Linked DNA regions of Arabidopsis thaliana. The protein of the gene in region 1 interacts with the protein of each later gene in a pairwise test. Each region holds a gene or a part of one and is shown in the gene's direction. Other genes may lie near its edges.

Region 1 (7,599 bases):
CTGGAGGACCGAGACGTCGATGCCGTGGACGAAAACGGCCGGACGGCTCTGCTTTTCGTGGCAGGTCTGGGGTCGGACAAGTGCGTAAGGCTTCTGGCGGAGGCTGGAGCCGATCTCGACCACCGAGACATGAGGGGAGGCTTGACGGCGCTGCACATGGCGGCTGGTTACGTGAGGCCGGAGGTGGTGGAGGCGCTGGTGGAGCTGGGAGCTGATATTGAAGTGGAAGACGAGAGAGGGTTAACGGCGTTGGAACTAGCGAGGGAGATTCTGAAGACGACGCCGAAGGGGAATCCGATGCAGTTCGGGAGGAGAATTGGGTTAGAGAAAGTGATCAATGTCCTGGAAGGACAAGTGTTCGAGTACGCCGAGGTGGATGAGATCGTAGAGAAACGAGGGAAAGGCAAAGACGTTGAATATCTGGTCAGATGGAAGGACGGTGGAGATTGCGAGTGGGTGAAAGGTGTACACGTGGCGGAAGATGTGGCTAAGGACTACGAGGATGGGCTGGAGTACGCTGTAGCGGAGAGTGTGATCGGGAAGAGGGTGGGAGACGATGGGAAGACCATCGAGTATCTTGTCAAATGGACTGATATGTCTGATGCCACTTGGGAGCCTCAGGACAATGTCGACTCTACTCTTGTTCTACTCTACCAACAACAACAACCAATGAATGAATGATTGATTTTGATGATTACATTCTTCTCAATTTGCTTCTTTCTCATATGTGTTGGTTCATCTGACCGGTTCGGTTGGTACGTACCGGTACATTTTCATTTTCTTTTAAGATGTGATCTTGATGGTTTTTGGCCTTTTGGGGACACTATTTGATTTTATATCCATGCTTTGAATTTTGCTTCCCTTTTTGGGGAGATTCATGATGCTGGCTGACTTGCTCTTTATCGTCCCAGGTTTAGAGAATACATCGTCTTAGGCTTTTCTTTATCTCAAAACCCATTTACATTTAATTGGGCCTATATATTTCATATAGGAAGAGAGTACATGTAAACCCAATACACAACTTTTATTTATGGGTCCGTTTCTTGTAACATTTGTTGGTGATAAAAACAACTTCTGAAGAGTGATAATGTACAACTGCACTTTGCGATTAAGGAAATTATAGAAAGATACAAAGTCTGAATAAATGACTAGAAAATATGAATAAGTAGTATCCATTCTTCTCTAATTCAACATCATTTTTTTTTTTTTTTTTTTTTGACGATATTCGATGCATTGTGTCTATATGAGAGAAATTTTGGTTTGTCAGTTAATGGCTAGACTTTTATTATTATGAGCATCTAGATTTTCAGTGCATGTGATGTTACGTTGATGATGGACATAAGGAGACAAAAAGGACGGAGTTGATTTAGTACACATTTTCGTTTCTTTGTGAATACAACGATCGCCTATTTTTCGTTTGTAATTTTCCTCTTAATTCGAGAGGGGCCTCTAGTCATGTGTGTTACTTCTAGTTATAGTGACATGAACGGATGAGAAAAGTTTCTTTTTGTAAACAACATGCGTACGTAAATCAACCAAATATATTTAGTATAACAACCAAATTACTGTTGGACAACCAACCAAACAACAATTATGTAGATTATAGATTAGAGAAAACAAGGAACTAGGTCGATTAACCGCGACCACATTAGCCAAGTCCTCCAGTCGATTAATATAAATTGATGCCAAATATATTAGTTTTCACTGGGTTTTATATTATACTATCAGACCACAGAAGACATCACGTCACAGTTAACAACACTACATATTTCAGATTTTGTATGAAACGTAACTAGGTTTATATATGAGACCTTTTAACCAATTAAATGATAGTGATATGGTTTGTAACATTGTATTGTATGTATTTTAGTTGATGTGTGTGGTTGGTAAGGTATAAATTAGCTAGTGTTACGAAAAATGACTTCTTGCTTTTTCTTTCAAATTGAACGACGCTCTATTTCACTTAAATAAAACCACATTTAGTTATTTCAATGACAACATACTAAGTTTTTTCTTACATAAATTAAAAAGTAATTTTGGTTTCAGTCCAAATTTTTCTAGTTATAGGAAAGAAAATGAAAGAGTTGCTTTCAAAATATTGAATCCATTGTATTTAATTTTGAATATTGAATAGTATGTACTAAAGTCTTTTCTTTAGTAGACCAATCTAAATACGAACGAAAGTACCAAAACCATACGAAACGGCAAATAATGACATGTGGGGAACACGTAGTTAGATGAGCAGTAAATGGGAAACATATTTTGATGGTTGTCCTCATATTTTCGTGTATCGAGTTAGATAAGGAAACCTGTGAAAATTTATTTCTCAAAAGATTCCGTAAGATTCCGTCGAATATAATTGATATTTCAGTATTTTGGACTGGCAGCGAATATGGCAGACTATACAGATTGATCGTCTTCCGGCGTTGTTATAGACATTAACAAACTTTAACTACTCGTTTGCTTAATTAGGACCATCTGATGACTTTATTCTAAGTTCAAATTTAGATGACCTCTCTTTCTTGAACATATACTTGTTACATACTTAATTCATTGTGTTATTGCAATAAGTGAATTGTGTGGTTATCACTAACACGCTGACGTAAATTTACACGTGTTTATATGAACGCACACGTGTTTTGTAGCTCGAGCAAAAGACCATCTGGTCAACGGACTAGGAGGATCCGGCGTAAATCCTTTATATAATTTTTATCAAAATTATAAGAAGAACAAAAAATGTGCGATTACTATCTGATCTACGTATTCACGTGACAAACAACAATTAATTTCAATAAAGATCTACTAACTTTAGAGAAAAAATCTTATGTGTTAATAAAAAAGTAACGTCAATGATCTCGGCACACACTAGAATTAGTGTCTAAGAGAACCACGACGAACCTGCACGGACCGACCACGAGTCTCTCGACGGTGAATAAGCCACGACTTCAGTCTCCTTCTAAACCAACGTGGCGCTTCTTACACCACACACGTGTCATCATCTCCTTCTCCCTCGAACCCGCAAGCTCTTTTAATCCCTTTCAATTAATTAATTAACTATATATCACCTGCCCCTATATATATCTAAATCAGTCACTTTTTGCTTCTGTTGTCTGTCACTCAGTAACTTCTCTTTCTCACTTACACACTCTCTCTCTCTCTCTCCATTGCCTTGACTTTTGTGGTCAGTGGAATAAACACATATAACCGCCGGAGAAAATGGGAAGAGCGCCATGTTGCGAGAAGGTCGGTATCAAGAGAGGGCGGTGGACGGCGGAGGAGGACCAGATTCTCTCCAACTACATTCAATCCAACGGTGAAGGTTCTTGGAGATCTCTCCCCAAAAATGCCGGTAATAACATTTACACTTTTATTAACAAGATCATGCAACACAAACTTAATTTAATCTATAACAATGTATATATGAGAGAATAAGACATAGAGAAATAATCGTGGTTCTTGTCGTAATCTTCATGAAACATGGATTCTTAGTCAGTTTTTTTTTTTTGCTTTTGATAAAAGAATTAAGGATTGTTAGTAAGTTTTTTAAAAAATAAATTAAATTTTTAGGAAGGTTAGAAGTTTAACTGCAACCCTAATCTTTGTTTCCAATTTATTTCAGTTTTTGGGTTTTTCTTTTTTCGTGCGAATCACAGTCACGGTGGGTTGTTTAATGTAGATATATGTAAAATGCTGCCAAGTGCATGCTTTAAGAGGGTAGGTTATGTTATAGACTTATAGTATATGGACAAATGTTTAAAAGGAAATACAAACAGAAGCGTATTTATGTATTTTTGTCCGTTGTATATCATTTCAAGAATCAGATCAAAACCATATGACTAGTTTTGATTTGATTTCTAACCTCGCTTTTAATAGAAGGTTACTTAATGTAGTAGTTGAGAATTTTTTGTAGTTGTGATATATATTATATGCATAAGATATATGAATAAATACAATGATCAAAAAGCTAAGAATCTCGTGAGCAGTCACACATCAGACCCTAGTTAAATTAATAAATACCTGAAAACTTTATCAAAATTTATCTAACAAAATCTGCATAAACATATATTTTGACGTATGAATCTGCATCTAAATATGAAGTGTATTATTATATTGTTAATTGTTTTTATTTGTTTTTTGGAAAAGGATTAAAAAGGTGTGGAAAGAGCTGTAGATTGAGATGGATAAACTATCTAAGATCAGACCTCAAGCGTGGAAACATAACTCCAGAAGAAGAAGAACTCGTTGTTAAATTGCATTCCACTTTGGGAAACAGGTACTCTATTATTTTACTTTATTTTCCAAACTCTATTTTATTTATTATGTTTTTCATTTTTTCCCATTTATATTCGTTCAATTTGTTTTTATGCACTGTATCGTATAATAATGATATCATGTCGACCAAGTAAGTGGAGATTCGGTATTATAAGACGGCTTAATTACGATTATTCTCTCTCTTAAATACTATAAACTTTAGCGAAGCACATTTTTATGGTTGGAAAATTTAATTTAAAGTCGAAATGGTAAAATAAAAATACTATTTTATCGTCGAATGAGAAATAGTTATTTCGTTGTGGGTCTTCCTCTTAACCATTGGGGTGTTAGACTTTTTCTCTTTTAGTTGAGACAAACTAAATTGTACCTCATTTTTTTTACACTTCGTATATTACATAAGCATTAATAGGAACACAGTTGATATAACACATGTGCATCTGTACAACAACACTTCAAACAAAATACAGTCACATATGTATTGCAAGTTTTCAACATGAAAAACTAGTAAACATGAGAAAAAAAAAGCGAGGATCTGTTTATTTAAAATTTTAATTATTATTACTCAACGTTAAACAAGTATATGTGATTCATAGTAGTGTCCGCTAAAATAAATCCAATATTGGAAATCGGACAAGGAACTCAACGAGAGTAGTACGAATTAGTCATCGTCACTCATTACTGACATTGCTCGAGCGATGTCATGATTAGGTCAGCAGTCATATCAACATGGCAAATCAAATTTAGAACACTATTCTATTGATTCTCATTGGGCCACGAGGTTCTCTTATTCCCCGGAAAGATATTTAATTTTATCAAGGTTGTTCCAAATTGTGAATAGAGGATTAATATAATGCAATGAACAGAGGATTAATTATTGATTAATGCAATGCATGTAGGTGGTCACTAATCGCGGGTCATCTACCAGGGAGAACAGACAACGAAATAAAAAATTATTGGAACTCTCATCTCAGCCGTAAACTCCACAACTTCATTAGGAAGCCATCCATCTCTCAAGACGTCTCCGCCGTAATCATGACGAACGCTTCTTCAGCGCCACCGCCGCCGCAGGCAAAACGCAGACTTGGGAGAACGAGTAGGTCCGCTATGAAACCAAAAATCCACAGAACAAAAACTCGTAAAACGAAGAAAACGTCTGCACCACCGGAGCCTAACGCCGATGTAGCTGGGGCTGATAAAGAAGCATTAATGGTGGAGTCAAGTGGAGCCGAGGCTGAGCTAGGACGACCATGTGACTACTATGGAGATGATTGTAACAAAAATCTCATGAGCATTAATGGCGATAATGGAGTTTTAACGTTTGATGATGATATCATCGATCTTTTGTTGGACGAGTCAGATCCTGGCCACTTGTACACAAACACAACGTGCGGTGGTGATGGGGAGTTGCATAACATAAGAGACTCTGAAGGAGCCAGAGGGTTCTCGGATACTTGGAACCAAGGGAATCTCGACTGTCTTCTTCAGTCTTGTCCATCGGTGGAGTCGTTTCTCAACTACGACCACCAAGTTAACGATGCGTCGACGGATGAGTTTATCGATTGGGATTGTGTTTGGCAAGAAGGTAGTGATAATAATCTTTGGCATGAGAAAGAGAATCCCGACTCAATGGTCTCGTGGCTTTTAGACGGTGATGATGAGGCCACGATCGGGAATAGTAATTGTGAGAACTTTGGAGAACCGTTAGATCATGACGACGAAAGCGCTTTGGTCGCTTGGCTTCTGTCATGATGATATTGATTGATCCGTTATGTAATCTTTTTTGTGCATTCACAGTTTGAATCTATTCCACGTCGTATCATATCATAAAGTTTAGGATCTAAATATTAGTCCATTAGTTAAAATTATCTAATGCAATAAAACCCATGGGATGTTTGGATTGTACGTAAGGTTAAAATATTGCAGTCTTTGCTTTAGTGGAAGAATTAAACTAATATGATGTTTTTCTTTGTAACGTATTTACTATTTTCATGTAATTTAATAAAGAGGGTACGAAATGTAGGTGTACATTTGTTTGGGCTGTATATATTTCTATTGACATTAAATACGCCAAATTAGAAAAGAAAATCTTTAGTTGGAAGCATCTATTATATGTACCTCTTTCGGAATGTAAAATCACGTTTAATATTTCTGAACTGGTAATCAATCTCATCTCCTAAAATTTAATACATATCATCATTGTCAAACAATCGGAGTAGCGACGAGAACTATCATTGTTTTTCTCTTGTGATATTGCCGGCCAAATATTATTACCTCAATCATTTTGAAGCGAGTAAACATAGTTTTTTTCCCCCTTTTTTTTGTTCTTGTACACCAACAGAAAGCTGCATCACATCTGCGAATCATCACGTGCCATTCAAGTGATTACTGGAACGTGACATGAACGAATCTTCACATTGAGTGTTCCAACTCTCCTTTGTACGAAACTCCAAACAAGTAGATATATATTCAATTATTATGGATGTTGGAACAATCAAATTAACTCTTGTCCTTCTTATCGTAGAGACATGAAATTAACCCAATTCTGTAAATGAGTAGTAAGTAATCTATATATATATAGTTGACAACAGATAACACTATAATATATGCGTCCTTATAATGTTAATGTAATTATCATGGTTTGAGTTAACGTATAGAAGCATTGAAACTTAGTTGCAGACCGAAAATGATATACGATCTTAAGAGTTAAGAATCTTGAACTCGGCAAATTTTATGAAAAAAAAACAATTTCAACCATTTCTAACTAGTGATTAGATGACCAATAGCAAGCATGCACCAACGACTTCATTTTTATAAACATCATAGGGACCTAGACATATGCATTTTGTGGGCAACGGCCTACGCATTAAATTTGTGTTTCGAAGATTAAATTTATGAACAGAAGGCAACTTGCAAATTTGCTATGTACAAAAAACACAAAGGAAAAGTTTGTAAATAGAGACAATAAGGGAGAAATAAAAAGATCGCTTTCTCATAAGTCCGACTTGGTTCCACGGTATCTAGAATGCCCACGTGATGTCATGTACTTTTCCTTCTTCTCTATTCTAATATGTTGTTTAACAAAAAGAAAATTGATTGATAAAAAAAATTGAAAAATTTCATAGTGATATCTAAAGTTTAAACAAATTATCTCTAAGAAAATTGTTAGTATGCCTTGGAATATAATTTCTCAACACACAAACTGAAGAAATTGCTTTTAAAACTGAAATTTATATGGTAATGGCATACTAATAAACAGCTAAACTTTTGTAGTTTTATGTGTGTGTATTAAGAGATTTTTCAAAGTGAATGCACCTTAAGGTCATGTTT
Region 2 (5,874 bases), on another chromosome or scaffold:
GGTCAGCTGCATTTATCAGAAAGACCTAAGACATAGTACTTGTTATGATTTCAAGTCATTCAAAAACAATAAAAACTAAAGCTTTTAGCAGATCAATTTGGAGCTTTCACCTTTGAAAACGTAGTAGAGAATGTATTTACAGTTACAAAGTGGAAATCTTTTGTATGTCTTATGTTAACGTGAACATTGCCCTCGAATTCTTCGTGAAGCAAAACATCTTCATCCGTTGACCCGATCGTGCTACAATATATCCTGATAACAGAACAAAAGAAAAAGATTCATACAGGCCATTTTTGGAAGAACCTAACAACCAAAACTGATCATACGAAACCTGCATGGCCGTTTTTTCTGATCAGTAACGACATAGAGCAAAGCCTGCCCATTCTTTGCCCACGCTATGTTAGAGACACGATCTGCGTGAGGCTTACTACATAAAGCTCCAGAATTCAAGTTTCTCACACACAACTTAAAGTAATCGTTATCCTTATCATACATAGTATATGCTAGAAATTTATGGTCAGGAGATATCTCTGACATTTCCTCATAAGCATAACCTACAAAAGAGACACCAAAATTGCTTATCCCTCTTAATCCACCCCAAGTATAAGAGCCTCAAATATGCTTATTTACCTCCAAATCTCTCAGCTTCCTGATTGTAATCAAGCAGCTTCTGCTCAATCCTCTTCCCAGATGTGTAATCAAACCCTGCAGCAGGAGACTTATGAGAAATGAACTCCTCGTGCAAGCTCGCTAGCCTCCTACACAGTACTGGATACTGCTTCCCTTCTTCAACCCTTCTATAATACAACCTAATTCCACCAATTCTCAACCAAATCAATGTCCAATTGCAGCAAAAAGGACGAAACTTTCAAACTAATCGACGAGTTTACAGATAGAAAAATCCAAGCTTTTTATATCTTAAAACGATGCTAAACAAGAGAATCAGTATAATTCAATTGACCCACCAAGGTCCCCAACGAAGAGGAGGCGTGGAGAGCTCAAAGGACAAACGAGAAGCCATTTCAGACTGAAGCTTGGTCTGAATCCGATCAGTATCAGCCAAAACGGCTTCGGTATACTTCTCCTCTTGCTCCATATAGATATCCATATGCCTCATCGCCACTTTATCTTCCAGCTTAGACATCCAACTGTATGGATCCTCCCACGTCGCGTCGTGGAAGGTGAAACTCTGCGGCTTCTTCGGCGGTTTTGGTAATGCTGGTGGTGGTGGAGGAGGCGGTGGAGACTTCGGAGGCTTGTAACAGCGACATTGTTGTCGCCGGAAACGGCAATTATGACGGGAAAAGGTCCGAGAGAGATTGCTCAACATTGCCTCCGGTTGGTTATTTGGGGGTTTACAGGGTTTTTGCGTCTCAGGAAATTTTTGTCATTAAGCTTACAAAATCGGACCCTTCTGAATCAAAGAGAGGCTTTTGTCTTACACAAAAATTCAGATCATTCTGTATTATACAAAAAACAAAGAAAATTCAGATCATTTTATATAAATTTGGATACAAAAAAACTATTTAGATTTAGCATGAACATTGAAAAACATTCGACAGTACCAAAAACTAGACGTATAGTGCATGCAGTACTTGTCTTCCGATCATATCCATACAAGCCAAATTAACACATAGTTATACAAAATTATTTGTTTTAAACATAAGTATATGATATAAATACGTTGGAAGGCATATGAGGCATAATTTGTAACCTCAGACGTTGGAAAAGCGCAATCTGTACGGTATATGATAATCATTGCGAATCCTCTCCTTAAGCTCCATCTCCGTATCCCTCTTGACCTTCGTCTTGAACGCTTTCATCATTTGCACAACTTGTTTCACATCTACTTTTGATGCCTCAGCTATCTCCATCATCCGTTTTGATCAATAAACCATGCATAAACATGCCATAACTTATTATTACCTTCATCTGTCATGGACTCCATTATTGTCGTGTGCAGCCTAATCTTCTCGTCGTCTACCTTTGAAGAAGTACAAGGACCAAGGCGGGAAAGCAACTACAATGAATTTGGTAGAAAGTTACGATGTCTTGTATTCGCTATAGTAAGTAAACAAGAGTTTATTGAGAGATGATACTATACATGTTTCTCCAATCCTAATCGTCGCTTATAATAACGATACATTATTCTCAAAGTATATGCATATGGCTTATCCCATGGGTTTCCTGCACAAAAGGTGGACCAATCATGAGTGTCCATACTCATCAATAACGAGAAACCAAAGCAAACAAGGCTAAGACATGAAGGAATTTTGCTTACTCAAGAGACTCCTGACAAAAGCTTCAGCTTGAAATACTCAATATATATATACCTTGCGTAAACTGGAACCTCATCTTTGGCAGCCTTGTTGAGACGGACAAAAGCATCGAACTTGAAAGTATCAGCACACACTAAAGCTGGTCTGAATCCCTTCTTCCGGTGGTAACGAGCATACTTGGCACACGTTTTGGTCTTGTCAACACCTACACTCATATTTCATAAATACGTTTTCTCAAACATGTTTACTAAGAAAAACAAAAAACAGAGAATGACTAACCGACCTCGTAATCCGATGAACATGACTATGCTAGGTTCAAGCTTTCCCCGAATGAGTGCAGATTTTCCCGGATCTAGCTTACTAGAGAGCTCCTGTAACATCATCTGAAGCGGTGGTTCCGAGTTAGTTAAAATCAACTAAGGAGATTAGGGACATAATTACAAAGAAACAATCGTCACCATGTAGATTAGGGCACCCTTCTTCTTGGGCGCCTTAGGCAGATTGATAATTTCCAGACTTTTCGTCTCAATCTCATCCACGGCCAATCTAGGAATATCGGCGTCAAGCAAAGCGCATGTGATCTCGTTCAAGCAACTCTTCAGTTTCGTGCAGTCCATGTTGCTTGTTTTATTCATCTCTTCAAAAGACCGGCCTATCCGACCCCTCACTTCCTCCAACGCCATCCAGAAAATTAGAGATTCGGTCGCGATTTACAGGTTAGGGCTTTGGTTTTGCTCGGATACATAAATACGTCTTGCCGGGACTGCCCCAGGTTTGGCTGTTTAATAAGTTGTAAAAATCACAAGTTTTACAGTTTACACCCATAATAGTAATAATAACAATAAATTAGGGGAGCGAAAGCAAAATTCCTGAAATTTGTTTTTCCTTTCTGCCCAAACAAAAAAAAAAGGTTTTATTCCTTTATTTTTTCCAACCTTGTCAGACTTTAGAACATCACATAACAGACGACAAAAAAAAAAAAAAAAAAGAACATCACATAACAGCTGTTCCTCTCATCTCTCTTATAAGGTCCTCTGCTTCTGAGATCTTCGTTGCTTCTTTGCCTTCTGGTTTAGTTTAAAATCAATCACTACCAAAAGCCCTAATCACAGAAGAAATCATGGTTGATCTCAGTAAAGACTTACAATTTTTCAAGGTCTTTCTCCCTGAATTCGGTTCTCACGAACTGGTATACTTGTTTTATATCTCATCAGTTTATTCTTATAATATCAAAATATATTCCATGCGGAGATTAATTTACAAAAATAAATCTGCAGGTGATTCCTCCTGCATTCATCGATATGTTAGAGAAACCATTACCTAAAGAAGCGTTCTTAGTCGATGAGATTGGACGGTTATGGTGTGTAGAGACTAAAACAGAAGATACAGAAGAAAGATTCTGTGTTTTCTTCACAAAAGGTTGGCAAAGTTTCGCAAACGATCAATCTCTTGAATTTGGAGACTTCCTTGTCTTCAGCTACGACGGCGATTCCAGATTCTCCGTTACGATTTTCGCTAATGACGGATGTAAAAAAGATGTTGGTGTCGTCTCAACCACGGATAGATCTAGGGTTTCTCTTGATGAGGAAGAACCGGATGATATTTTTACTAAACCGGATCGTATGAGAGATTGTGATTGTGGCCAGAGCATTAACCGGAAACGGAAACGCGATTCGGTTAATGAAGACCCTCACGTACTGGTTGATGATAAACCGGAGTATGTTTCAACTTACAAAACCAAACCGGAGCATAGTGAAAAGACTCAGAGAACAGTTAACCGGGCTGGAGGTAATTATTAACATGTTTTTTTTTGGTTTAATTTACATTATTGCGTTTTTTAACTCTTTTTTTCATTCGGTGTTACCTAGATACTTGTGACATATCATGGTTTCCAGAGAAGAAACACAATGGATTTGAAGAATCGGTTTACAAACCCAAGCATCCGCATTTTGTTAGGAATATCACAAGAGGTTCACTTCAGAAATTGGTGAGCTTAAAGAACCTTTTTTTTTATATAAATCTGTATTAACTCATAATAATGGTTGTTTACATAATATCAATTTCTATGTGTTTGCTAGGAATTACCGTTAACTTTTCTGAGATCGAACGGGATTGAATTGGAGGAAGATATTGAGCTTTGTGATGAAAGTGGAAAGAAGTGGCCTTTGAAGATTCTGAATCACGACAGAGGATTCAAGTTCTCGCATGAATCATGGTTGTGTTTCTGTAAAAGCCATGAGATGATACTGACCAATAAGTGTCTATTTGAGTTTATTGTCCCAAGTAATGGGAGATGCAGTGAGATTCTAGTTCGTATTGTCAGTGGGAGATTGCCTACCACTATGACCAAAAATAATTACCAAGTTATTGATATGCAACCTTAAAATAAGTAAACAAATATATGTTATGTTTCGCTTCTATTGTGAATTTTGTATATATCATTTGACTATTCCGTTTCTACATTGTTTATGTGTCATACCGTTTAATTTATCAGAAAATTTAATTAGAGAATAGAAGTCAGTAGTTGTAATATTAAAAATCAACATGATGGATTGAAAAAAACAACAACAACATGATTATGTTAATTGTCGTTATGTCTCGTTACGCAAGCAATGACAAAGATAAAGCAGTCCATTAAAGGGATTAAGAATGCACTAATCGCATGAGAATTGCACGTAGGAGAGCACATAGTTTGTGTCCCTTTCTTATAAACTAATGAAATGCCAAATCAGCCACCAGTTTTCACAGAACCAACGGGACAAGAGCCCACGTAATATCTATTATTCTTCCCTTAAAAGATGTTTTTTTAATGTAACAAGTTGCAATTATATGAATGCGAAGTCTCACCAATCCATTAATATATATAAATACACACGAGTGTGTGTTGTTTACTACACAATTTCTTCTTCGTTCCATTAACAACAACAACAAAAAATCGGAAAGCTTTCTAATTTTCTTTCTCTACTACAATGGAATTTGCGACTTCGAAAGGAGAGGAGATTTTGAAAGATGAGCAAGTGTCCAAGCAGCTACACCTGATATCGTCTGAAACGCAAACGCAAACGCTGAACAAAAAAGCCGTTCTAAACCGCATCCGCAACCACAAATGTATTCACAAAATCAAGAGTCTTCTTCACACCACCGCGGCTAACAACGGAGCCACCGTCGACGCTGATTATTATCGGTGGATTGATAGCGGCGATGTCTTTTCTTGTCCGTGACAGAGATTTTGACACGTGTATGTCACGTGTGTTTGTGATTCTCTCTTTTCTCTAGTATTCAAGTTCAAGTTGTGCTATATGTAATCCTAGTGAGTAGTGATTGTAGTTTTCGATGTTCATGATGAATTGAATCATTGATGAGTTCACCGCAGATCTTTACTGGTTTCATTGTTGGGATGCGGTAATGGATAAATTGGGCCATGACTGATTATTGTTTTGATTGGGCTTTCTCAAATATTAATAAAAGCCCAACAAGTAGAATGGTTTTTAGCGCAATAATACATTGCAGCTAAATCGAATCAAATACAGTATACTGTATAACACTGCTTGGAGAGCGTAATCAATCAGCTTCAAAGTCCAAACCAAAACTAAAA

Evidence for each region. Proteins that work in one complex are often made in the same cells at the same time.
Region 2: the proteins of MYB12 (region 1) and AT5G66980 interact in binary tests that used the Arabidopsis thaliana proteins (3 or more experiments, as listed by UniProt).

The regions. Positions count from the first base shown.
Region 1 is NC_003071.7:19,473,222-19,480,820, forward strand, and holds MYB12 (myb domain protein 12), read left to right. Parts: upstream 1-3,104; 5' UTR 3,105-3,216; coding exon 3,217-3,349; intron 3,350-4,143; coding exon 4,144-4,273; intron 4,274-5,168; coding exon 5,169-6,021; 3' UTR 6,022-6,376; downstream 6,377-7,599. Other genes in the region: CAO (chloroplast signal recognition particle component (CAO)), read left to right, coding at 1-681. UniProt on the Arabidopsis thaliana protein: Flavonol-specific transcription activator involved in the regulation of several genes of flavonoid biosynthesis. Activates the expression of CHS, CHI, F3H and FLS1. Controls flavonol biosynthesis mainly in the root. Confers tolerance to UV-B.
Region 2 is NC_003076.8:26,738,164-26,744,037, forward strand, and holds AT5G66980 (AP2/B3-like transcriptional factor family protein), read left to right. Parts: upstream 1-3,379; 5' UTR 3,380-3,399; coding exon 3,400-3,468; intron 3,469-3,556; coding exon 3,557-4,067; intron 4,068-4,147; coding exon 4,148-4,266; intron 4,267-4,357; coding exon 4,358-4,663; downstream 4,664-5,874. Other genes in the region: AT5G66960 (Prolyl oligopeptidase family protein), read right to left, coding at 1-25, 111-252, 332-554, 631-809, 966-1,330; AT5G66970 (P-loop containing nucleoside triphosphate hydrolases superfamily protein), read right to left, coding at 2,282-2,484, 2,563-2,662, 2,738-2,962; AT5G66985 (uncharacterized protein), read left to right, coding at 5,249-5,500.